Linked DNA regions of Oryza sativa Japonica Group. The main gene of each other region encodes a partner of the protein of the gene in region 6 in a complex. Links are inferred from orthologs where the notes say so. Each region holds a gene or a part of one and is shown on either strand. Other genes may lie near its edges.

Region 1 (4,191 bases), about 19 Mb from region 6:
CAGAGGTTGCGCGTGTGTGGAGCTGCCGGGTTGCTCCACGTCTACAACTCAACACCTTTTTCTCGTCTCTACATTTTTAGAGAGAAAAAAAACAACCTTCTAATTTTGTAGGGGTTCATTATTCATTTAGGCTCTTATTAAATATCAATAGCTAAAAAGGGGAATAAAACAATCCATCAATTTCAGCTATCTCAAACCAGACAGGCCATAGCAGTAGAACAATCAATATTGGCGTAGGAGTTCCTTTTGTACAAAACAAACAGCTTTTCAATTTTGTACAAGTTAATTCTTTCATTTAGGCTCTTATTAAATATCAATAGCCAAAAAGGAAATAAAATAATTAATCAATTTCAGCTTAGACTGGAAGACACTCTAAAGTGAAAAGCGCAAGATGCCAACTGCACGACCTGATGCTGCTCAAGTTACATCCATCCATCTTATAATTCGTAACCAACATACAGTATTAATTAGGAACTCGACCGAAATGAAACACTAGTAGCAAACAATTCGAGCCGGACTTGCAGCAGCAACACGGGATAAAAGGAAATTTAAGGAAACGAAGCCGGCCACCACCACCGATGAATGCATACTGTAGTACTCTACAATAAATTGCATCATCGAGATGAATGGATTTAATAATGGACTACATACAGCTCTGGTCTATTCAGCACAGCGGCAATTGATGAGAGAATACATGTATGTATGCATCATGATGATGATGATTTGATTTATTTCTTGTTGAGGTCGATGCCGGCCTTTTTGGCGACGGCGTCGAGGCCATGCTTCTCGATGGTCTTGAGGGCTTTGGTGGAGAGACGCAGCTTGACGAAGCGCTTGCCTTCCTCCCACCACAGCTTCTTGTACTGCAGGTTCACAAACTGCTGCTTCTTCGTCTTGTGGTTTGAGAAGGACACCTTGTTCGCCCTGTTGGTCTTCTTGTCCGTGAAGGGGCATATCCGGCCTGAGTCACCCACCCCCACATCATACAACAACATCACCATACACGCCATCTTGTTCCTACTACTACTAGTTTCTATAATTTGTGGCATCATGCAAACAAAAGATAAAGTATAATCTCACCCTTTTAAATTACTTGTCCTTAACTTTATCATAAGCCAAACATTTAATATCATAATATTTATGTGTTTATATATGCATCATGAAAAGTACCTTCATAATATATAGTACAATTAACATGTTGTTAAACTTTACAAATTTCTAGAAATTGATAAGTCACAATTATCTTTTTAAATAAGAAATTGATAGTTAAAGTTATGAATGGTTGACTTAGAATAAAACTAAAACTATAACTTGAAATGGCCAGAATAGTTATATTTTTTCTTTTCCCCCTTCTTTCTTATATACACTAGTAAGAAGAAGAAGCTCTGCTTATGTCTTAGAGAAACAAAGAGATGGTTGTCAGACATAAACAAGCAACCATTTCAAATATATTCTAAACAACCCTGTTAAATTTCACTTGGCGCAAGGATATTATTGGCCTTAAGTTAGTGGCGTGGAATCATCTCTTTCCACGCATTGCTAATATAGTGTTGTCACACGAGAAAGATGACTTTAAATTGAATCTAACACCTGATGGAAGATTCTTGGTTAAAACTCATTATCTTGCACATACAAGAGTTCCCAATTTTAACAAACATATCTAGAAGTTAAAAATCCCTCTCAAAGTGAAAATGTTTCTATCGTATTTATGTCGAGGGGTGGTGTTAACAAAAGATAACCTGGCTAAACGGAATTGAAAAGGGAATAAGACCTATTGTTTTTACCACAAGGAAGAAACGATAAAGCATTTATTTTTTGAATGTCGGCTAGCCCGATCAGTTTGGTCTTTAATCCAGATTGCATCGAACATTTCTTCACCTAGGAGTGTGTCACATATGTCTGGACAATGGAGTTTGCGACAAAACAAAGAGTCTAGGCCTCCTTTTCTACTAGGAGTTGACTTGTTGGGCTATTTGGCTATAAAGGAATGATGTGATTTTTGACAGGAAAATTGTTTCTTCTTCTTTGCAGGTTATTTTCTTGATCACACATTGGCTCCGATCATGGATTATTCTCAAGAAGCCAGATTACAGGGGTTTTGTCTGTTCGGCTTGTCTTCATTTGGAGCATGTGGTCAAGGTTTTTTTTTTTTACCCAGGCACATGAGCGGCAACCTAGTCTTCCGATATTAGGTCCTTAATCGTTGAGTTAGTTCTGTTTTTCTTGTTGTGTGGTATCTATTGGTTGTGCACTGACATGGTGCAAAGAACGACCAAATTCAATAAAGCTTCCATTCTCTTAAAAATACAAAGAAAGATCTGAGTTTATGGTAATAGATTGACAGCTAGTCTATTTTCGAGAGATTAAAGCAATCAATTACTAACAAATAGGTCATCTGGTTCTAGTAGTAGTATATATACAGTGGAGTATTGGATAGCGCAAAAAAAAAACGAAGGATAAAGTAACAACTTTAATAGTAGCAGAAATGACATTGGTGGTGTAATATAAAACTGTAATGTCAATCTGCGGGTGGATGGCTCGAAACAGAGAGAAGAAGGAGGAGGCAGATGACGTACGCGCGAGGATGGGGTGGAGCTTGGGACCGGCGGCGGAGGGCGCGGTGGTGGCTGCGGCGGAGAGGCCGAGGCTGAGGCCGGCGAGTTGCGAGGTGGCGAAGCCGAGAGAGGAAGAGGAGGAGGAAGTGCGAAGGAGCGGAGCCCTGGTGGCGGGCGTGAAGGAGCAGAGCATGGTCGCCATCGCCACTGGAGCCTGGAGGAAGAAGAAGAAGAAGAAGAGGATCAAGTCTTGTGCGGCTGCGGCGTGGCGTACAACTTGTTTCTCCTATCCTATCATAATCGTCTCTCTATGTACTGTGTGAGCAGGGGCCCATATATCGTAGTACTGTAGAAAAGGGCGGCCCAAGCCCAACTCTCATTACTACTAGTATTACTCACAGTGATAAGTCCACTTATTATCCCTTATTTTACGTCGAGTTTAATGGTATCTCTAAACCGCAATACCAGCAATCTTCACCCCCTCCCCCCCATTTTGGAAAAACCTTCCAAGTCAGTCTCATGGTATTATGGATGACTGGTTTCACTAACGTGGCATACCAATCAGAAAATTAAAATTTAAAGTGGACTTCCTCCCAACCTGTCCCCTCTCTTCCCCATCTCTCCACCTCCCCCCTCTCTTTCCCATCTCCTCCAGTGGGGAGAGGGGCGGCGGCCAGCGAGCCCATCCACGGGAGGTGGTAATGGTGGTGGGAGGTCAGTGATGAGGTGGCTCCAGTGGTCCACGACGGGGGAGAAGAGGAGGTAGGTGAGGGAGCCGGCGAGTTCGAGCTCATGAGCTATCTGCAGGAAAGCCCAGTCGTGTCAGGAGTGTGAGGAGCCGCGGGGATGGGAAGGGGGTGCTGCGGTGGTGGCGGCAAAACTTGAGCTCAAGCGGTAGTGATGAAGATGAGTACGCATGCGGAGGGTGACGTTGTTGATGGAGGTGTTGGGGAAGAAGCAAGTGAACTAGAGGGACAATGTCGTGTCGCACACCACCAACTCCCACACATTCTCGCGAGCATCCAAGATGGGGACAGTAGCAAAAGTCTGGCTCCCACTTCCAGATCCCCTTCGCATCAACCTCCATTCCAGATAGCACACTTCTACCCACTGGTCCACCTCCTCCTCTTCCTCATACTCCTCCACATCGCTCTTGGGCTCCTCCTCGTTGATGGCTTTTGAAGTGGAGACAGTGGAGCTCTCGGAGGAGACAGACCGGCATGCTCGCGACGACATCGCAACACCGGGTCGAGGTCGAGCCGGCCCCTACTTCTCTTTTCCGTCTTCAAGAACAGCCTCCTTGACTTCCGCCCACCCATCCCTCGCCGAAGGAGCTATCAAAGAGGTCACCCGAGAAGATGTGGAGTTGATTCTCTCCTCCTTGATGGCCAGGAAGACAGGAAGAGGACCCTCTCGCAGGCGGTGTGGAGGATTGTTGTCTGTCCTACCAGTGTTGGTGTGTGGTGGACCGACAAGGCTCCTCTAACTTAAGTCAAAGGGACATGCATCTCTAACATGTGGGCCTATAAAGGTGGGCCGCACCTGTCAAGGACTCATATCCTTCTAACTTTAAGTCAGAGGAGCTCCTTTCGTGGTGGACGAATGAACTCGTCGGCGTGTGAGAACAGAGAACTGA
Region 2 (3,039 bases), on a different chromosome or scaffold from region 6:
ATAAATTTTACAACCACATCAACAGGAAGGGCATCAGAAAAAAAATCGAAAATGGCACTCTTCAGATTGTTCACATCGTGCCTGACAAAGTGGCAAACAACAAACAAACCCGAATTTGCTCCAGTTATTTCCTTGTCCAGGTTGATCCTTTGTGCTTTAATCAACATCAGGTCAGACGAAAGAGTTGTGAGAGGCCCTAACAAAACACATCATGGAAGTGTATATACAGGCAAATACCTCACAAATATAGAGTGCAGCACAGCAAGGCTTCTTGAAATTTGCTATGATTTTGAGTTTTTGACAAACACAGAAGGCATCAAGGTGCATATGATATTTCCACTATGGGAACACACATTAGATTTAGTGGTACTTCTGTAGGACAGCTAAAGCCTAAAGGAGAAAAAGGAGGGACATGTTAGAAGAAAATTTGTTCAGTACTGGGCTTTGTGTGTTTTTAACGGTGACCGGTTTATCCATTATCTAAAAAATACAAGATGAAATTTCATCGGGAAAGAAATAATCACATTTTGCAAACATTGTGTTTCATATTTTGAACAGCAAAATTCGCTGGGCATCAGCTTAGGAAATACAGAGACGGATGAACAGAACATAGAGGTGTACAGAAGAACAGCGACCGACATCACTGCTGGTTAGACGTTCTTGAGCTTCTTCATCTTGGATGGTGGCCATCTACCTTTCTTCCTCAGCCGCCTCTTCTGGACAAGCCTCCTGCGCCGCTGCCTCAGCTTCTTGGCCAGCTTCATCTTCGCCCTCTGCTCCATGATCATCTTCTGCTTAGTTTCGAGCGGCATTGTCTCAATCGAAACCGTGGGTTTTGGCTCCTCTGGTTGATCTGTGCCAGCTTCTTCTGCGCCAGCCTCTGCCGAGGCATGGACAGAAACTAGCCTCTTCTTGGTGAAAGAAGCATTCAGAGGGCTCTGCGAGGAGAGATTCTTGCACTGGAGCCTTGGGGCTGTAGCATCAGAAAGGACAAATGGCAAGCCTCAATGTGCATCATTTTAGATATAGAATTCAGAGTACATGCATGCTACTTTCAAAATTTTGATAGAATCTCCGTCATATAAGAAACTTGAAAGCTAATAAGTCTAGCTCATGTGTGCCACTTCATGGATAGTATATAGTACAATAACTAGTAACAATCCTAGTGTTCTCAATTACATATTATGATGAATCTTAGCAGAGCACAGATATGTAAAATCTACTCATCTATTAACAATCAGGCCCCAAATGTAGGGTGTACTACGAATGTCACCCTTTGCCAGTGACCGGTGCTTACATAGCATCTGATATTATCATTTAAGCACGAAAGAACCAAAGCTTCGAGAATCTGCAGAGTTCACTGAGATGAATTATACCTAGCTTTGTACAGAGATGATAAATGCACGGAATCTCCCACGAATTACTGCATCTGCACACGACGTGTTTGAAGAAATTCCCTAACGAGCCAACCGCATCCCAGAGAATCAGAAACGCCACGAATCACCAACGTCAAATATCTAGACCAATCCTCCCACCGAATTACAAATCACACCTCACAACAATGGATAGCCTCGTACCCACTCAGCATAATCCAATCCAAGAACCAACACCCCACAACCCGAGTAACTTATGCGCAAAAGTCCCGGTACGGAGAAGGCGTTCACGGAGGTTACCGGGGATGGTGGAGGCGACATTGGCGGAGGCGGGGAGAGCTCTGGCGCGAGGCGGGGAGGCGGAGGAGGAGGCGAGGAAGGAGACGGTCGGGGAGAGGAGCAGCGCCATGGCCACGGGCAGTGTGGGATTCGGCTTCTTGGCCCGTCGTCAGCCTATCCACCCATCAGCCCGGAGGGAGGAGATAAGCCTGTGCTGCTGTGAGCGCTCCGCCGTCCGATGGAGAATCAACGGCCAGATTTAATCTCCGTCAAGTAAGGCTGCTTGGCAGTTGGCCCACATGTCATAGGTGGAGAGAAATTTTGATTTTGATTTTCTTTTTCTCCTCTCGCCGCCTCCGCCGCCGCCGCGGGTGGCGGCGACAATCCGCATCGGCGGCGTCCCCTCCGCCCGGCCGCGCTCGCCGTCGCGTCCTACGCCGCCGCCGGCCGCCACATCCTGCGTTCGACGTGGATAGCAAGAGGTGGGGGAGCTCGCCGACGACAAGAACCTCCCGTTCGACGGCCAAGCGGGTGCCCATCGGTGATGAGAAGAGCAGCTAGCGACAACCTCTTCGTCTCCCACTCCAAGCCGAAGCACGCGCCGGCGCCGCCGTGTACCGCATCAAGAATGTCTCCTCCTCGTCGTCGCCGTCGCCGTCGCCGTCGCCGGCGTAGAGCAGTTTCAGCATCGAGGACGAGGAGGTGTCTGTACAGGAGCTGCTGCCAATGGTTGATCCGGGTCGTCAGCTCTCGTGCGCCATTGGGGATGGAAGCTTCTGCTCCTTCAGCTCGCGGACACCCATCAAGATTATGGAGCGTGCAGAGATCCTCCAGCCGAGCGTAGCTTCGACATGGACATCAATGCTGCCGGAGAGGAGGATGAGGATGATGCACGAGCCATCGTTGTATCAGTGTCAGAGAAGATTTACAGAATCTACGACAAGTCTCGCAGGCTGGCTCGCAGGGTTCAAATTTCCGGTTCGACCAAAGTTTTTTTTATTCTTTTGTGTGAATTTAGTAATATTTATTCAAATTTGACCAAATTTTGTTCGAAAATTCAAATAATTCTGGACCAAATTTCGGTATATCAGCACCCCAATACAAATACTGAAAACGAAAAATTGAACCATGGGCTCGCCAAGCGCCACTGATTGCTACATTGTTTATCTAAGAAAGCTTTGAGTGGGGTCGGAGACGCCTTGCGACAACATTGGCAAACTCCTCTTTGTGGGAACGACGACGACAGTTGGAGATGGTACAAAAGCGAAATTCTGGGACTTTGCTTGGTTGCAAGGGAGAAGGCTTAAGGAAGTTGGCCCCTCTGGTCTAAGCGACTTTCTGGAAGAAAAACAGAACTCTACAGTAGGCCACCAAATCTGGCCAATGG
Region 3 (3,453 bases), on a different chromosome or scaffold from region 6:
GTGGGGCGCGGCGGCTACGTCAAGGACGTGTTCGTCCGCGGCCTCAGCCTCCACACCATGAAGTGGGTGTTCTGGATGACCGGCAACTACGGCCAGCACCCGGACAACTCCTCCGACCCCAACGCTCTGCCGGAGGTCACCGGCATCAACTACAGCGACGTGTTCGCGGAGAACGTCACCATGGCCGGCAGGATGGAGGGGATTCCCAACGACCCCTACACTGGCATCTGCATGTCCAACGTCACCGCGCAGCTCGCGCCGGACGCCAAGAAGCTGCAATGGAACTGCACCGATGTCAAGGGTGTCGCCTCCGACGTCTCGCCGGTGCCGTGCCCGGAGCTCGGGGCGGCGGGCAAGCCATGCGCCTTCCCTGAAGAAGAGCTCGTCATCGGTCCGCCTGAATTGCCAACGTGTAGCTACTGAAATACTGATATAGGATGATAGTATGGTGTGGGTAATGGCCTGGGCTATGAGATGCTTGGGACCAAAGAGATATATATGATGTGGTTTAGTGAGTAAAGTTAAGCAGTTTGAAAATGCTGCCGGATAATCTCTTTACACCCAATTCATTTATGAGTGCTCATCTGCGAATGACCTGACCAAAGCAAAGCCTTTTCATTTTGTCTTCTGACAGTAAATACAGCACGTGACAAGATAACAAAATCATCAAACTTCTAAACGAAACTTTGCAAAAACAATGACAATTGACAAAGTGAGAAGCAAAGCTCAACGTGCCTAGGCAGCGGTTTGCAATCACCGTCTTCCCCTGCCCTTGCTCATGAAGTGGTGGCGCTTCAACCTCTTCTTCCGGATCACCACGGAGGACTTGATGTGCTCCGCGAACGGCATGCCAAGGAGGGTGAGCAGCCTGAGAGCCTCGTTGTCGGTCTTCGCGGTGGTGACGATGCAGACGTCCATTCCATTCTTCTTCCCACCGACCTCGTACGGGATCTCCGGGAACACGCCCTGATCACGAAGGCCTATGGTGAAGTTGCCATGGCCATCAAAGCTGTTGGGGTTGACACCAAGGAAGTCCATGGTCCTAGGAAGCCCAAGGTTGATGAGCCTATCCAGGAAGTTGAACATTACCTGCAGCAAGCCAAAATAAGCTCATCGATCAAACATATTCCCTAGGTTCCCAAATACTTGTCACTGGATACTATTCATATTTGAACTTTGATCACTTATATTTTTTAGAAAATAAAATGCATATACCTAAAAATATGCCATATTATTAAAGGTTGTTACTCCACATAGATAGGTATTAAACTTTCGTTCGTCCAACCATTTAAAATTTGTGGTCAATGTAAAATACTGACGGCCAACGGTGACAATAATTTGGAACTGGATGGAGTAATTGCAATTCTCACACATACTTTAGGCTATTATACTGTCATGCAAATCCCAAATTGATACAACATTGCAGTCCCCAATTTGTCAATGTCTGCATCGCAAGTAGCCAGAGGTACAGAGGACTCACCCTGCCGCGGAGCGTAACGGCAATACCAATGGTGTTCCCCTCGCGGATCTTGAAACTGGCGACGGACTTCTTGGCCTTCGTCTTGACGGGCCACTGGCCGGTGATCATGGCGAGGTCCTTCATGGCGGATTCGAGCCCCTTGGAGTTACCGGCTTCAGCCCCCAACCCGCAATTCACTACAATCTTCTCAACCTTGGGCACCTGAATAAAATCGAGAATCCAAAACACACTCCTCTAAGCTCAATTATTGAACAACAATCGAATTTCCCGAGTTCCGCAAAGAAATGGCCATGTCTATCCTATAATTGCGAGAAGGGAGACAGAGGTCGAACACCTGGTGGACATTGGTGTAGCCGAACTCCTCGGTGATGAGGGGGACCACCTTCTGGTCGTATACAGCCTTGAGGCGGTGCACCTTCTGTGCCTCGGTGGGGTCGACGAGGACGATGCCCGAAGGCGAGGTCGGCGGCGGCGCCGGCTTGGGTGGCGCGTCGGCCGCGGCGGAGGCGGCGACGCGGAGGGCTCGGCGAGGAGGCGGGGAGCGGAGGAGGAGGCGGACGTTACGGGAGGAGGAGGCGGTGGTGGTGACGGGGAAGGGGGCCGGCGAGGACGGCAGGGTCACAGCCGTGGCCGCCATTGGAGCGTGCGCGGAGACGGAGGTGGGAGCTGAGGAGGGAGCTTTATGCCATGGATGGATTACGGGATAAGGCGAGTTGGCTGTGGCTGGCTGCCGTTGCTGTCCAGTGTCGCAGGTGGGCTTTCTCGTCATGGTTCGGCCCATCGAACTGTTCGACATGGTTTCAGGCCTTAGGCCCATCAAAACCGTTGATTTGGGCCTTAGGCCCATCAAAACCGTTGAGTTGGGGGTGAACTAAACACGGCCTAAGAGAAGGGTAAAGTTACATGAGTCAACAACTGCAAGTCTGCAGTGTGTGAATTTCGATATATGCCTTGTTTTGGTCAACCGGTAACAGTGTTTGAGTATGTGGCCCATTCTGTATTTTCTAATGCACTACAGGACATCACTAGTATAGTAGTAGTATGCCATTAAACGATGACTTCAAACATAAAAAACGCCGATGAAGAGCTTAAACAAGATCAAGCAAACTCTGAACCTAGCAACAGTTGCTGGCAGATCAGCAGGAGATCTGCCACGCTTGATCAACATTGAAAAATGGACGGAATATCACGACGAGGATCCTCGTCACATGCTTATGCCTAACTAATCATGCAGTAACCGTAACATGCAGTTCTTTATAACCAGGGGACAATCACTAGGATCTGATTTGAAAGGTCCCAGATCACAACATTGCGCTTGCCCTACCTTGTTCTACCAAGGACCAGCAATGCCACGACCGTGATCCTGTGAGGATCGACTTGACACCAAGAGTAGAAACACAACGGACAATATCTTCCTTGTCAGTTTGCAACCTAATCCTGATAAACTACATTAACCTCCTTGACCTCAAGAAGTAACTGTCAGTCTGTGACCTTGTCACTTGTCAGGGCCTTAATGAACAGCCATTCAGCAGTATGGAGGAACCGCCTAGTGTGCATAAGCTTCATTAATTCTTCTTCACGGTCAAAAAGTAATCAGCCATGCATCACTTTCATATTTACATCCGGCACATCTCGTGAACAAGAGATACAGAATGTCGGCAAATAAAGAATATAAAAGAAAGTACACATTTTATCAGTGAACACCTCACTGTCAGCAGCACGACTCAACCAGACTAATAAATTCAGAATGGTACTGATTAATATATATCATTACCAGCAGTACTAGCAAAAGCATCAGCCATTCAGCCCCAGCACATCATTTCTAATACCTGTGTGCTCCACCGTCCAAATGAGCTTCCAAATATCTATCTAAATTATTCTTCTATTAACAGGACAGAAAAGCATATTACAAGGCTACAATTGCCACTGAAGCAAAAACTAATAAGAGATGACAGCAAATAAAAAGAAAAAAA
Region 4 (3,767 bases), on a different chromosome or scaffold from region 6:
CCTCAAACGCATCTAGGTAATGCACACTGCTGTACTTTGCCTTCAGCGCATCCAACAAGACCACGTTGATGCCCTCTCCCGCAACATACACCTGCCTTCCTCCTCCATTGAGTCTCTCCTCAATCCTTCTTCTGAGGTTCCCATCATTGCCACCAACATGAACAGAGTCAAAATCTACTTGCATCCTTGATATGATACCATCAACAATGTCCATCAAGCTTGGCGCCGTGCGTATTGCTCCCTGCGGTGGACGGAGGACATGCTCAGCTTCGCCCTCGCACACATTGTACCAATAATTCCCTGGCTCCACGTCCCCAAATTTCCTAACGATCAGGGGATCCCTCGACTTGGAGAACTTGGTGGGCGCAACCCTGCTGTCCTCGATGATGCGGACTCCAAGCTGACCCTGTGCTCCCCACTTGTCCCAATCCTCCCAGAACCGCTTGTGTTCAACGATCCCGACCACGGATTGCAGGTGCTCAATGTCAATATAGAAGGCGAGGCGCTTGCCCTCCTCGGGCATGCCCCCGGCGTAGGCGGCGGCGAGACAGACGCTGAGATCGAGGACGAGGGTGCGGTTGAGGTAGCGGGCCTCGGCGATGGAGCAGAGGAGACTACGAAGATAATGCGGCATGGGCTTGCACCGGTCGCCGCCGCCAAGGTAAGAGAGGTACTTGCCCGCGGCGAACTGGGAGCGCGAGAGCGCGGGTGGGGGCGGCGGGGCGGTGGCGTTGGTCCCGCCGCGGCGGGGCTTGCGGGCGAGGGGGCCGGAGTGGTATTCCCCGATGGAGGTAACGGAGTAGGCGCAGGTGACGGGGTCGCGGGCGACGGAGAAGCGGCGGTAGTCCTTGTAGTTGGCGGAGGCGGTGGATCGGGCGCGCCAGGCCATGTCGCAGGAGGACGACGGCGGGTCGCCGGGGACGGGGCGGCCGAAGCGGTTGAAGTGGACGTCGGGGAAGGCGTCGATGGCGCGGCGCATCATGAGGTGGAAGAGCTGCGGGTCGGCGCAGTCGAGCGTGGAGGTGGTGTCGCAGCTGGCCTGATCCTGCTGCTCCAGGTGGGACGTGGTGGGCGTCAAGGCGGCGGTGGGAGGGGAGAGGGAGATGGGGAGGTTGCGGAGGGTGAGGAAGAGGAAGGCGACGAGCAAGAGGGCGGCGGCGGCGTGGGCGGAGGAGGTGATGAGGGCGCCCCGCCCCAGCAACGGCCGGCTCGGGTCCATCCGGCGACGGCGACGGCCGACGGCGATGAGATCTGGTGGCTGATTGTGTAATAAAGCCCCGTCTGCAGGCGGCGGACGGTGGTGAACTTGTTTCTAGGAAGACGACGAACTGTTCCTCTTAATGGGCCTAACATGAGTGGGCCTAAGACGAAGGCCCATGATTTGGCCCAAGAATCGCATCTCGTCGTGGATAAGACGATAAAGCAACATTGTGTGGGGATAGCCATAGCCCTGCACCGCACCTCGACTCCCCAAACATGGCGCTCGCCCTCGTCTCGCCAATGGCGGCTCTCTCACTCCACTCCGGGAGGATCTCAGCGGCGGCTATCGGCGGCGGCCTCCGCTCTCGCAGGGCATCCCCGATGGGCGCCGCCGCCACCCCGTTCCTCCGGAGCTCCTTCGTCTCCTCCTCCTCCACGTCATCCGCCTCCGCCTCCCCCGCCGCGCTCTCTGCCGCGGTCTCGGCGTCGCTGACCTTCACCTCTGCCTCCTCATTTGCTGGTGAGAATGTGTACTTTACTCGTTCCTGATTCGCTTCGTTCTGTTGCTACCATTTGGGTTGGGGAACTAGATGGAGGAGAGAGTTGCCTGCAAAGAGAAAGGGAGGAATGAACTTTTGTGCTGCTGGTTTCGGCTTTAAGTACTGTACAATGGAGTGTTTATACTGTCAGATAGGTAGCGTGTACAGTTAATCAGTGCTTAATGTCAGAAGATAACTAAACTAAACTAGCGATTTTAATGCAATTGATATATTTGAAAGTTCTGATGGTATTCTGGCAATTTCCTGAGAAATCTTAAATTCAAACTCTGCCGTACTTGTTAGCTGCTGTACGCAGCTTGTTATAATCTGCAATGTCTGATCCTAAAGCCCACGCATTCTTATAGTTAACCATGTGCTAGAGAATTTTGCTTAAGATGTGGATTCCGATTAAGATTAAAAAAAATCACTTGTTTACACATCCAGTTTTTTAGTGTAAGAACGTGTATATATATTCATAATTCAGTGATTAGTTCTAGATGGTTCCATGTTAGGAAACCTACACGGCTGAAAGTTTCTTTTCTTCCTCCATGTACTGTGATACTGATATTGTGATTTCCAGTAGTGCCAGATGGACTGTAGATTGTAGTACATTCTTGCGACAGAATCATGAAAACATCACAAAAACTCAGGAAACTCCACTTTTTGGAGCGAGCGCATGAGCTTAATTTAGTAAACTCATTATGAAATATATCATCTAACATAATTATACTACGAACTAACGAAATCACTGAATCAAGAACGTTTAACTGGACAACTCAACTTTTTAAACAGTTCAGTTACAATTAATAGCCTTGCCACCTAAAGCAAAACCAAAATGCTCCTAAAACAAGCCAATAACGTTAGATTAAAGGAACTATTGCAATGATATTATCCTTTTGGAAAATGAACTGTACTTTACATACTAGAGTTTTTTTCCAAATGATCTTAGAGAACAAAAACACAAACTAAGGGCAATCAAATAGCCGGTTTCTGTGCTGTACTGTTGTATTTAGCAAATCCATGTTCTTATGTATCAAACCATATTTGTTCCAACCTACAAATGATTTCAGTATCCTAATATGTTACATATTTCAGGTTCATCTTTGGGAATTGAATTCAGCTACAACAGAGTTACAACAGGAAGATCCCGGATTCTGCAGATTAGGGCTGGAAAGGCTGCTCTGTGCATGACCAAGAGAAATAGATCTAGGAAGTCGCTTGCCCGTACACATGGTTTTCGCAGACGGATGAGGACTACTGCCGGAAGAAAGGTCCTGAAGCGCAGACGCGCCAAAGGAAGAAGGGTTCTCTGCACAAAGACGAACTCCCCCACTGGGAAGAAACGAATGTTCTGATTGAATCGCATTCTAAGTCGCTCTTTGTCACAATTGTAAGTGTATTTTTTTATCCCACGTTCTCGGTTATACTCAACCATAACAATTGGTGCAAATCCTTCACCCGGTGTCCGGTTAATGTGTGAAGTACATTATCAACACAAATTCAAGTTAGCCTTTTTGCTTGTGCAGTATTTAGTAGTTGTTTGCTGTGGGAATATGTTCTCCTTGATCTGCATTGCCATGGTTTTCCTCTGATCTATCTTGACTGCATTCTGAGCATAGATTTTGCCAAAGGGCCTAAATGCTAACTTGAGCAGTTGCTCAAATAAACTCATCAATTTTTCTATTCTGTAGTAGAACGTCCCTTTTATTTTCTGATACAGTCCAGTGAATTTTAATATTCAGATCATCTCATCATAGTCACTCCATGCTCCACTGTGTAACACAATTTATCCACCTCCTCTGTGCCAATCTCTTTGGTACACACTTATTTGTAAAACAACCTGATTGCCCATCCAATCCTCTGTCACCTTATAATTTTGCTACTATCAGGCGAAAAAATGGATAATATCCAGAACTCAACCTGGAATAAATGAAAGGCAACAAGTAGCAAAGAGAACATTTACATTCTAACAAACTGAATCCCTCCTCTTCTTCACTCGCATCGGCAAGCCGCCTTCCATCCTCAAGG
Region 5 (2,659 bases), on a different chromosome or scaffold from region 6:
CTCGCCTAGAAACCACGAGACGAATCTTTTGAGCCTAATTAAGCCATCATTAGCACATGTGGGTTACTGGAAACCACGAGACGAATCTTTTGAGCCTAATCAAGCCGTCATTAGCACATGTGGGTTACCGTAGCACTTATGGCTAATCATAGACTAATTAGACTCAAAAGATTCGTCTCGCGATTTACATGTAAACTGTGTAATTAATTTTTTTTATCTATATTTAATGCTTCGTATATGTGTCCAAAGATTCGATGTGATGTTTTTGCGAAAAGTTTTTGGGAACTAAACATAGCCTTTATTGGCTAGAGCGTGGCTTGGATTTTGATGGCCTCAACTTTAGCGAGAAAACATGGTAAACCTTAGCAATGTTAGTACGTGAACTAACAGCCCCTTACTGCTTATTCTGAAGACCGGACAAACTGATGTATGCAACGATTCTATTCGAGAGCCCAGACCAACACTAGCATGCATCGATTCAACGAGTTGGAAATGTCCAATTACAGAGTGTGCAAATTGCAATATCTCCATTTTATATCGATGTCAAAGAGTACAGGCAGAGAACAAACAGTTCGATACCACAAATATGATCACACGTATCCACTGAGAACACCGATCGAACACCTAGAGAGCAATGCGAATGCACGTGTAACGAGAGGCGCAAGCAAGAGGAGCTAATCCATTTTACGCAATTCCCAAAATCAACCAAGAGAAACCGCACCGGCGAGGCCGGCGGCGGAGGCGAGAGGCGAAGCGGGGGCTCAGCTGGCGCCGGCGGATCCCTCCTCCTCCGGGTCGAACTCCGGGTCGCCGTCGGGGTGCATCTCCCTCCACTGGTCCTCGGGCCAGTACTCCTTGATGTGGCCCCACTTCTTGCGGAACTTCTCGATCTGGCTGTCCATGACGACCATCGCCGACGTGTCGCCGACGTAGTAGGGGTGGTTCCCCGACCACACGTCCACCGTGTACTCCGGCTTGGTTCCCCCCGTCACCAGCACCAGCTCCCCGTTGCAGTACACCTTCGCGTCCTCGTAGATCTCCGGGTGCAGCCCCTTCTTCCGCATCGAGCACCGCATCCTCTGCACGGCAAATCGTCACACCACCGCCCAGTTCCAATCACCTCCTCCGAATCTCCGATTCGGCGGCGCTACGCCTACGCGGTTGTGGGGGCATCGAAGGAATCGTACCTGGGAGGGGACGAGGGAGCGGAGGGTGGTCCTCGTGGCCGCCGCGGCGGCTTGGGTCGGGAGGAAGGAGGTGGAGAGGGAGAGCGCCATGGCTGCTGCTTCCTCGCGCGCTCGCGTCGCACTTTGCTCCGGATTCCCCTGTTTCGTGTCCCTTATCGGTTTCTGGTGTGTGTTATCCTCTCAAGCGTTGATGATTCTCAATTTTTGAGGCTTTGGTGCCGTGCGGGTGGCCGCTCGCCTGCCTCGCTTTGGCTGGGCTTTCTTAATTGTTGTTTGGTTTGGGCTGATACACGTTGGTTACTTACTGGCCCAGAAAAAAAAATGTATGCAATTATTTCGTTTACGTGGTAAAAATATGCAGAATTCCTAATTCTCGCATACGCGCCGCGGGCGCGCACTTCTGGCCCACGCGTATGCACGGCACCGCACGGGCGCGGTTAGATTCTTTCCATAGCGCATGTAGTAACTAGTCCATTAGTTTTAGCGTGTAAAAAAATACATTAGTTTTAGATAATCAAGATAAGATTTGTTTTTTCCGAAAATTTTTTAAAGTAACAGATTGAAAAGAAATTTATACATCAAGTCAAATTCTGAAAACTTTCAACCCATATTTGAAAACTTTCAACTCGAAATTTGAATTTTTTTTAAAGTCAAATTTTGAAAACTTTCAACTTTTCATCTCAAATTGAAAAAATTCAACTCAAATTTAAAACTTTCAACTCAGATTTGAAAACTTTCAAGTCAAATTTAAAAACTTTGAAGTCAAAATTTAAAACTTTCAACTCTACATTTGTAAAGGGGTGTGCGAAAGATTAAAAAAATAGAAAGAAATGGCGAAAAAAAAGAAAAACGCACCCGGATCCAGGCGCCAAAATCGTAAAAAAAAAGTGAGAAAGAAAAGCACGCGGGAACAGGGGAGGGGGCCAACTGACGCGGGCGCCAGCTAAATTGCTAGCACGTACGTGCGCATTAGCCTCCCCAAAGATATGGGTTAATTGGATCATGTTATTGCAAGTTTACCAATTTGCCATTACTATTCACGATATCAGGTTCATGCCACTGAAATTTTGCAAAATTTGAGCTATGCCACTCCGTTACAACAACTGTCAATACCTCTGTTAGCTCAACACCGCACAACGCAGATCAGTTTCTTCTTCAACTCAGGCGAAAATCTGGCGGTTCTCAGGCTCGTCGACGACTGCACGGAGAGAGCTTCTTCGATGAGGGCGTTGCCAATCCGGTGACGATTGCAAGCTTAATACCCAATGAAGGGAGGTGGAGCTGGAGGGGAGTGACGGTCATGAACCCTGCATCGCTGGTGGAAGGTGGAGGGAAGCGCCGAGCCCAACCCATGCGTTGGAGGGGAGTGGCGGTCACAGACCCCACGCCGCCGGTGAAAGATGGAGGGGAGCGCTAAGCCTAATCCCCGCACTGGAGGGGAGCGGCGTCTAGAACCGTCATCTTCCTTGCCG
Region 6 (3,926 bases):
GCACAATATAGCCCAGTTCATTACCTAAAGGGCTAGATTTTTCACAAATGCTCCCACTCCTGTCCTTCAGTTAACCGTTATAAATGATGGTTGTTCCTAACAGTCAAGTAGCCTACTTTACCTGTTTTCTCTATTTTGCAGATTTGTTGTGATGCTTTACATAACTGTTACGGAGGCACTATGCAGGCTAAGTAGCAGATTACCATCATCATCAGTCATTACACGATCATTTGCTCTATGGCTGATAAGCCGTGGAAAAATGACGAAGCAACCAAAAATAACTTTTGAGTAAAACGTCTATATCTATGTTCTTAGCGATTCAAAAGCCAGCACTGGAGAATAAAGCACAATAAAAAAAACCCCTCAAAATCAATTCTAAATTAAGTTTCAAAATCCAGATTTTGGCTGCCGTTGATAAGCCAACAAACGAACGATGGAGCTATGCATCCATGCATATCCTCAAATTCAGTTGGCACAAACAAAATTTCAAACCTTCTATCTACGAATAACAAGGTTAAAAAAATGTCTATCAACATGTCTGAAAATCGAACCACTGAAATATATTGCACACACAATGAAGACTACTAAACAAGGTAGCAATATATCAGTAGGTTTTCTCCCAGAAGTGCATCTATGAGGTAAGTACTGAGATGACGTAAATGGACAACTTCTTTGAACAAAAGGGCAGGAGTTCTGCCTATTGCATTGAACGAGGATAAAACAGAAGTTCACCAAGGATCAAAGAAGGTAAATGGACAGTTACCCACCTTTCACTCAGGGTCACAATAACCAAGCAAATGGGAGAGAAAACCACAAGCAACAGTGTCAATACATATAGTAATCTGTAGAATTTCCATTGTACCTGAGTTATGTTTGGAGAAACAGTCCCAGCTTTGGGGTTAGGCATAAGTCCTCTCGGTCCTAGAATCTTTCCCAATCCGGCGACCTGTGAAGCAAAAGACCAAAATCAACAACATAATATGCCGAGCTAGTAGCACACCTTTAAAACTTCCATGCAGGTCTTGCATGGAGCTCAACACTTATTGCAGAACTGCATCCAAACTTCCGAAGAATGTACCAATTCAAAACAGTAGAACCTTATTTGCTTATCGAATCTATTTTCTCTGAGTGAACCAAATTTGCATATCTCCATTATGGCTCAAATCATAATCGTAAATGCTAGACACTTGTAATATGAAGGGATGGATCAGATATGGCAGGTAATGATAAGAAAACAATATCTGATCAATACAACTAAATGTTGCCTGGTTTTGTGGTTCCTAATAACACTGAAACATAACGTGTTCATTTGGATGTGGGATAAACTATGTCGGAGACATGCAAAAAGACAAGTCTTCATAATGCTTGGAATTGTTTTAGACATGAGTTATGCAGCTAATGCCATACCTTAGGCATCATATCAGGTGATGCAATCAGCTTGTCAAATTCCATAAATCCTCCTTTTATTTGGTCAATCAGGTCATCTCCACCGACAATATCAGCTCCTGCAGCTCTTGCTTGATCTATCTTCTCACCTGCAAGGATATTTGACAATAGCCATTACATAGTGCTAGTGATTAGTGCACCACTTTAGTGACTAGCGCGCATTCACATACTTCCATTTCAATTCACTATATAACAGCGTGCTTCCAATTTAATGAACCGTAAATAACCACATGATCAAGCAGGCAAACCACACCTAAAAGACACAACTAGCAGTGACCTAATCAATCCATGCACCAAAGATTGCAATTGGAATTGGTGCTGCGATAACAATCTCCAAAATGTAATTGCAACCCACCTTGTGTGAGGACCGCAATCTTCACCGACTGGCCCGTCCCCTTGGGCAAATTAACCTGCACATCATCACCAAAACCGATCCAATATCATCAAAAACGATTGATAAAACACAAGCCAGAACAGAACGTACGTAACAATGGCAACAGCAGAGAGAAAGAGCAATAACCGTGGCGCGGAGCTGCTGGTCGTTGTACTTGGGGTCGAGGTTCATGCGGAAGTGCGCCTCAGCGGACTCGACGAATCGGGCGCTGGCCATCTGCTTCACCAGCGAGATGGCCGTGGGCACGTCGTGCTCCTTCTTGCTCTCCCTCAGCTTCTGTATCTCCAGGAATCGCTTCGACCTCGTCTGCAAACCCATCAAAAAAAAGGCGAACGCGGCGTCAGCGTCAATCCAAAAATCAACACGAATGGATGAACACGCGGGGGGGAGGCTGGATTCGGGGGGGGCATACGCGGTCGCGCTTGAGCGGAAGGGCGGCCTTGCCGGTGCGCGGGCGGGTGGGGGGCGTGAACGCGGGGCCGCGTCCGCCCTCGTACCCGTCGTCGTAGTCGTCGTCGTCGTACTGCTCCTGCCCCTCGTCCTGCTGCTCCCCCTGCTCCTCCTCGAGCACGGCGCCCTGCGGGTCTGCGACGGCGGCGACGGCGGGGCGGCGGAACGCGAGGAGCAGGCGCGGGTAGTAGGCGCGCAGCGACGGGACGGGGGTGGGGAACAGCGCGGTGGACGAGGAGGAGCAGCACTGCGCCGCCGCGGCGCCGGTGGTGGCGGGGGCGGGGGCGAGGAGGGAGGAGGCGGTGGCGGAGAGGGAAGCGGCTGTGGCCATGGTGGTGGTGGTGGTGGTGGGGAGGGGGGAGGAGATAAGCCGAGGTGGAGGATAGAAAGGGGAGGAAAAGGCGAAGTGGCAGCGCGAGAGTGTTATAATAGCCGGTGAGGCGAGGGCGAGGCGAGCGGGCGAAGCGCGCAGCGGATAGGGCTCTCTCTCGCTCGCGCGTCGCGGGGGACGGGGGAGGACTCGTGCGATTTGGGCTATTTTGGATTAGCCGAGCCGTGTGTGCCCGCGCGCGCGGGGGAGACGGTTGGGGGAGGGTGGTGCGCTGCGGCGCCGCGGGCGTCGGATTGGGCCCAAAAGCTCACGATTTCGCCGTTACTGGGTACGGTCCAAAAGAACCACCGATAATGTAGTGCTATTTACTTTTTAAAAATACTACGAACCATTACCCATAATCTGTTAGTTGCGAGAGTATCAGAAATGTCTGGCCGTACCATCAGAGTACCTACACTCTCTATCCCAAAAGATACAACTTCTAAGAGTGTTCACAGTAGAAGGATGTGACGTTCAGCCCCATAGCCAAGAACTGAATATTCGGCGCCGCATTGACAGTACGCGGAGCCAAATAAGGTTCTCGTACCCAAACATGGATACTCGTTCTTCAAACGAAGAAAGCAGGGAGAAAGGTGAGTTGTCGTGTTGTGGAGGGCGGAGCCTCACACGAGTGGCTTCGCGCAGCGTCGACAGCGAGCGCATTGTCGCCACAGCCACGGGGAGAGAGAGAGAGGAAGGCGCCATCGACGAAGAGGCTGCGACCGCCACCGTATCCAATGATGAGGATGGGAGCTCGCCGTCCGGCACCGTCGCAGCTCGGGCTGCCCTGACAGCCGCCGCCGCTCAGCCCCAGCGCCTCGGATGCCCTGGTGAGAAAAGAAATAGAGTGAGAGATTGGGGGATGAAAGATTTCGGATGAGAAAAGAAACAGAGGAGAGAGAGAGATTGAGAGATGAAAATTGAAAAAACTGTACCGGTGGGACCCACTACTAGTACTTGCATTGTAGAGGATGAAGCTTAACAGGTTCTTCGTCTACGTGGCATATGAGGAACGGCAAAAATATGTAGCGCACTGTGAATGTCCTAAGAATGTTGTCCGGATTCATTCCTAGAAATTGATTTTTTATGGGACGAAGGAAATAGGAACCAATACGAGAGTCTGATAATGTGGTATTAATGGATATCGTGTCTGGTAGTACCAGATCCAGTGCACATACAAATATGATACCTACGATCCTGTGCTGATGTTAGCACCATAAGGTATTCTGTTGTAACAGTATAGTGTTATGTAGTAGTTCTTTTTTT
Region 7 (3,811 bases), on a different chromosome or scaffold from region 6:
CATCTTCGTCTCATGGGATCTGGACAGGTGTCAGGTTTCCCTCGCGGAGCAAAACGCAAGCAGAAAACTGTGGTTTGCTTACGATCACCTGGATTTGATATTTGCGTGCCATATCTGCTATGTTGATTCTCAGCCGTCAGCACGAGCTCTTGAGCTTTCATGTTATCAATGGCAAATCAGATTTGTTTTTTCCTTTTTCTGACTATAATCTTTTAGCACTATATATTTGTATTTTTTTTCCTACTATATCAATAGAAACATCGCTATCTTTTAGCACTATATATTTGTATTTTTTTCCTACTATATCAATAGAAACATCGCTGCGGGTTGTTTCAAAAAAAAAATTGCTAAGCTTGTTTCTTTTATGATACTCCTATCTTACTACTCCTTAAAAAAAAGAACTTATCAATCATTCATGGGTTTTATATGTACATCTCATCTATATTTCTATATGGAAATGGACCAAATTAGTCAATGGTTGCGAATAATAGCTCAGGACAGGGGACAGCAACAACATTACAAAATCATTTGTATGAGCGAATGTAGCTGAACCATTCTAGTAGCTGGTTAACAAGCCAAGCATGTCATTGGATACAAAAAAATGTTGGCAACTGTATAGAAATTTACAAGACTCTGAAATCTGAATCTAGAAAAGCATCAACTCATTTGGGCATACAAAAAGTGCAGTTCAGAAAATGTGCAGGACTCCCATGCTACCATGATCACTCCGAACTTCCTTCCTTGAACACCTTGACCCAATTCTCAGCACTGTCAATTATTTCACCAGTCTTGACCAGGTACCGAACCTTCGTTCCATCCTCAAGGAATTTGTGTCCAACCCTACTCGCCACATTCTTTTCCTTTGAGTAGAGCATCACATTTGAGCTGTGAATGGGGCCTTCAATCTGATCAAAGAAAACACCAACAACCATAGGTTAACGATCAGGCATCTGAAACTATATATACGACACTAGCTAGAAGCAGCACAGAAAGAAGTTTCAAGAGAAACAATGCTGACCATGACGATTTCACCCGGTTCATCTTCTGTTCCTTTCTTGTGCTTGGACTTCAAGTTCAAGTCCTTCACTATTACAGTGCTGTTGTGCTTAAAAAGCCGCGTAACTTCTCCAACTTTACCTTTCTCACGGCCTGCAATGACTTGTACTGTATCGCCAATCCTAACATGCATCTTGTGCAGGACAGGAAGACTGTTTGGTTTACACTTCTTCCTCTCCCATCGCTTAAGCTGCATTGGAAAAAGGGAAATTTCAGACATTTGAGTAAATAGCAAGCTGCAGACCAAAAAAGAATTGAAACTTACCCTCATTTGAATTGGGCATGTCTTGATCATAAATTTAACCTGCATATAAAAATTTATGCATATCTTGTCAGAGTTTCTTATGAAAATGACATAAAATGTAATAATCAGCTGCTTTTGAGATATGACATGAATCATGCTCACGATGTTTCTTAGGCAAGAATATCTAGGATAATCATATGATCTTTTAGTACGAGTTTCTTCATATAAGTGCAGATTTTAGTACAGTTCATCATATAAGTGCCATATATAGCTCAGTCACTCCATTCAAGAGCAATTATTCGGCCTTATTTTCTCTCATCACCACTTTCCAGGTAAGTAATTAGTCGTGAGTGAGTCTCATTCTGAGGACGAAGTGCAGTAGACTATCTAGAAGAGCTAAGGAACGCCAAAAAGAATATACAAAAGATAGAACAAGTTCAGTCTGATAAGTATACCGAGTGTGCCAATCATTTGCTACAGGCTATCCCCGAGTGAAATGAGTTTCCATCATTTTCCCATGGAAGTCTTCTGTGAAATTTCTACTGTTGAGTAATTTAAAGTTCAAAGGCAAAATTGTTTCTAGCCAGCGAAATGTGATCTATACAGCAGGTTAGAACAAGAAATGGTCTGTCTCACTAGAGGGCACATCTTTCAGAAAAATAATCCTCTGCTTGAAAGGCTGAATATTGGGTATCCATCGCTTATACCACCATAGGAAAAAAATAATATTCAAGTTTAAACTGAAACATAACAGGCCACATCCCATGGTAGACAACACAATTTCTAACTTCTGAATTCACTCAGTTGATATACTCAAACTTGAGATTTCAAGCATTCATTAATTCATATAAACCCTCCTTATACTAGCCAACTAGGTTCAACTATACCACAAAATCCTTGAGACCTTTTCTCTAAAAAAAATATACCACAAAATTTTGACACAACGTTGGTTGTTGGCTAGTTGAGGTCCTGAGCCTGAACTCCTGAAGGCAACAACAGTACAGTGAGGCGATGTAGACATCACCATTGCAATGCCACGCTGTTGGTGAGCTCTAAAATCCTAAATCTCAGTGCAAGCTGGCATTTCTACTTTTCCAGCGAATCATAAGAGCAGAGCAAACATAAAGGAATGCGAAAAATGAGAATCAGGGTTGGGAGTCGGCACAAACCCCAGCCGGCGCGGCGGCGAAGGTGGAGAGCGGGTGGCCCCAGAAGCTGCTGGTGCTCGCCGCCCCCGGCGCAGAGATGGAGAGGGACGCCATCGCGCCCTGCAACGCCGCCACCCCGGCCATCTTCGTCTCCTCCCCTCCTCTTCCTCCCTCGCTCGCTCAAACCGCAGAGAAGCAGCAGAGGATAACGAACGCCTTCGTGTGCTCGCGGACAGGATAATGGCGAGCGCTTTTCTACATGACAAATGGGCCTCTAGGCCGAATGGATTGGCCCACTTGTAAGACTCATAAAGGCCTAATGAAAGGCCTATCGTAATCCAGCCCAACTACAACGGACCTTACGGCCCAAGTCAGCCGCGATCCCGTTCAGGCTCAAATATAGCGGGCCTCACGTAAGCCGCAATCCCGTCTCGACCCAACAAGAACAGGTCGCACCTACACAGATAAAATCTATTGTACATTTCTCATCTCTGCTCCTGATTGAATTACCTCCCTCAACCGCAAAATGGAGGAAAATCGGTCTTATTGTTTGGTTATGCTTATATTTATGAGCCAAAATTTGAATTTGAGAACTTAGTTTTGAATTTGCTTTTTTGTTTTTTTAAAATGCTTATATTTTACAACATTTGCTTTAAGTTATTATGGACATATATAAACATTTTACTCATAAATAAATTTTTATTTGCTAATAAACGATTCGAATAAGCGAAAACCGTAGCAGATCAACCCTTAGATGGTTTGTAGGGTGGTTCCTGTTGACGTGGCAGGCTGACTCGCAGAGAACATGAGGGAGGCAAAATAGACTTACTATCACGCACGTCAGCAATCCGGTTAAGGCCCAAATGTCGTGGGCCGCTCGTCGTCCGCAATCCCGTTTGTGGTCAAGTAACGTGGGCCGAACGTCCTGGGTTGATATGGGCCGACACCCGTTTTCGGATAAGGCCCAGCCCAGCATACGCTCGTCGTCTTCCTCGTTGCGTTGCGTGGCTTCGTCTCCACACGCATCATCACCACGCCACGCGCCGCGAGATGCTGCTTCGGCGGGGGCGCCCAGGCGTGGCGCCTCCCGGATTCCGGCGGCTTCGACGTCGCCGGCGACGCGCGCAAGCCAAGCGACAGTTGCGGAGGCAAGCAACCCCCCAAGTTCCGTCCCTTTTGCGCTTTTCTGGGACCCATTTCCTCTCTCTTTTGGGGGGCGCTTTCGCGGTGACGACGCTGCCGATGCGCGTACGCCTGAGGAGTTCTTCCCCATCACGCCGCGTGGGGGATCGGGACGTCGCCATTTCCGCTGCCGTTTTCTTCTCTTTGGGGGGTTGCAATCTCGCGTTTCATTTGATAGGGT

The links.
Region 1: large ribosomal subunit protein uL1c (region 6) and large ribosomal subunit protein bL28c share a complex: the UniProt entries of both Arabidopsis thaliana proteins name them as parts of the 50S ribosomal subunit. The link is inferred for Oryza sativa Japonica Group from reciprocal best matches to the Arabidopsis thaliana genes EMB3126 and PRPL28.
Region 2: large ribosomal subunit protein uL1c (region 6) and large ribosomal subunit protein cL37 share a complex: the UniProt entries of both Arabidopsis thaliana proteins name them as parts of the 50S ribosomal subunit. The link is inferred for Oryza sativa Japonica Group from reciprocal best matches to the Arabidopsis thaliana genes EMB3126 and PSRP5.
Region 3: large ribosomal subunit protein uL1c (region 6) and large ribosomal subunit protein uL5c share a complex: the UniProt entries of both Arabidopsis thaliana proteins name them as parts of the 50S ribosomal subunit. The link is inferred for Oryza sativa Japonica Group from reciprocal best matches to the Arabidopsis thaliana genes EMB3126 and AT4G01310.
Region 4: large ribosomal subunit protein uL1c (region 6) and large ribosomal subunit protein bL34c share a complex: the UniProt entries of both Arabidopsis thaliana proteins name them as parts of the 50S ribosomal subunit. The link is inferred for Oryza sativa Japonica Group from reciprocal best matches to the Arabidopsis thaliana genes EMB3126 and AT1G29070.
Region 5: large ribosomal subunit protein uL1c (region 6) and uncharacterized protein share a complex: the UniProt entries of both Arabidopsis thaliana proteins name them as parts of the 50S ribosomal subunit. The link is inferred for Oryza sativa Japonica Group from reciprocal best matches to the Arabidopsis thaliana genes EMB3126 and emb2184.
Region 7: large ribosomal subunit protein uL1c (region 6) and 50S ribosomal protein L24, chloroplastic share a complex: the UniProt entries of both Arabidopsis thaliana proteins name them as parts of the 50S ribosomal subunit. The link is inferred for Oryza sativa Japonica Group from reciprocal best matches to the Arabidopsis thaliana genes EMB3126 and RPL24.

The regions. Positions count from the first base shown.
Region 1 is NC_089039.1:104,682-108,872, forward strand, and holds large ribosomal subunit protein bL28c, read right to left. Parts: upstream 2,801-4,191; 5' UTR 2,758-2,800; coding exon 2,577-2,757; intron 962-2,576; coding exon 729-961; 3' UTR 412-728; downstream 1-411.
Region 2 is NC_089035.1:9,871,258-9,874,296, reverse strand, and holds large ribosomal subunit protein cL37, read right to left. Parts: upstream 1,829-3,039; 5' UTR 1,783-1,828; coding exon 1,674-1,782; intron 974-1,673; coding exon 651-973; 3' UTR 501-650; downstream 1-500.
Region 3 is NC_089037.1:1,440,999-1,444,451, forward strand, and holds large ribosomal subunit protein uL5c, read right to left. Parts: upstream 2,186-3,453; 5' UTR 2,118-2,185; coding exon 1,815-2,117; intron 1,682-1,814; coding exon 1,481-1,681; intron 1,090-1,480; coding exon 754-1,089; 3' UTR 501-753; downstream 1-500. Other genes in the region: probable polygalacturonase, read left to right, coding at 1-423. UniProt on the Arabidopsis thaliana protein: Binds 5S rRNA, forms part of the central protuberance of the 50S subunit.
Region 4 is NC_089035.1:34,740,188-34,743,954, reverse strand, and holds large ribosomal subunit protein bL34c, read left to right. Parts: upstream 1-1,452; 5' UTR 1,453-1,476; coding exon 1,477-1,720; intron 1,721-2,833; exon of another isoform or gene 2,834-2,834; coding exon 2,835-3,094; 3' UTR 3,095-3,267; downstream 3,268-3,767. Other genes in the region: uncharacterized protein, read right to left, coding at 1-1,219. UniProt on the Arabidopsis thaliana protein: This protein binds directly to 23S ribosomal RNA.
Region 5 is NC_089035.1:25,929,496-25,932,154, forward strand, and holds uncharacterized protein, read right to left. Parts: upstream 1,362-2,659; 5' UTR 1,278-1,361; coding exon 1,188-1,277; intron 1,080-1,187; coding exon 762-1,079; 3' UTR 501-761; downstream 1-500. UniProt on the Arabidopsis thaliana protein: Binds the 23S rRNA.
Region 6 is NC_089039.1:18,889,852-18,893,777, reverse strand, and holds the start of large ribosomal subunit protein uL1c, read right to left. Parts: upstream 2,801-3,926; 5' UTR 2,622-2,800; coding exon 2,253-2,621; intron 2,147-2,252; coding exon 1,967-2,146; intron 1,857-1,966; coding exon 1,802-1,856; intron 1,536-1,801; coding exon 1,408-1,535; intron 947-1,407; coding exon 863-946; intron 1-862. UniProt on the Arabidopsis thaliana protein: This protein binds directly to 23S ribosomal RNA.
Region 7 is NC_089040.1:29,338,661-29,342,471, forward strand, and holds 50S ribosomal protein L24, chloroplastic, read right to left. Parts: upstream 2,673-3,811; 5' UTR 2,593-2,672; coding exon 2,470-2,592; intron 1,361-2,469; coding exon 1,322-1,360; intron 1,247-1,321; coding exon 1,019-1,246; intron 906-1,018; coding exon 723-905; 3' UTR 501-722; downstream 1-500. UniProt on the Arabidopsis thaliana protein: One of two assembly initiator proteins, it binds directly to the 5'-end of the 23S rRNA, where it nucleates assembly of the 50S subunit. Required for optimal plastid performance in terms of photosynthesis and growth.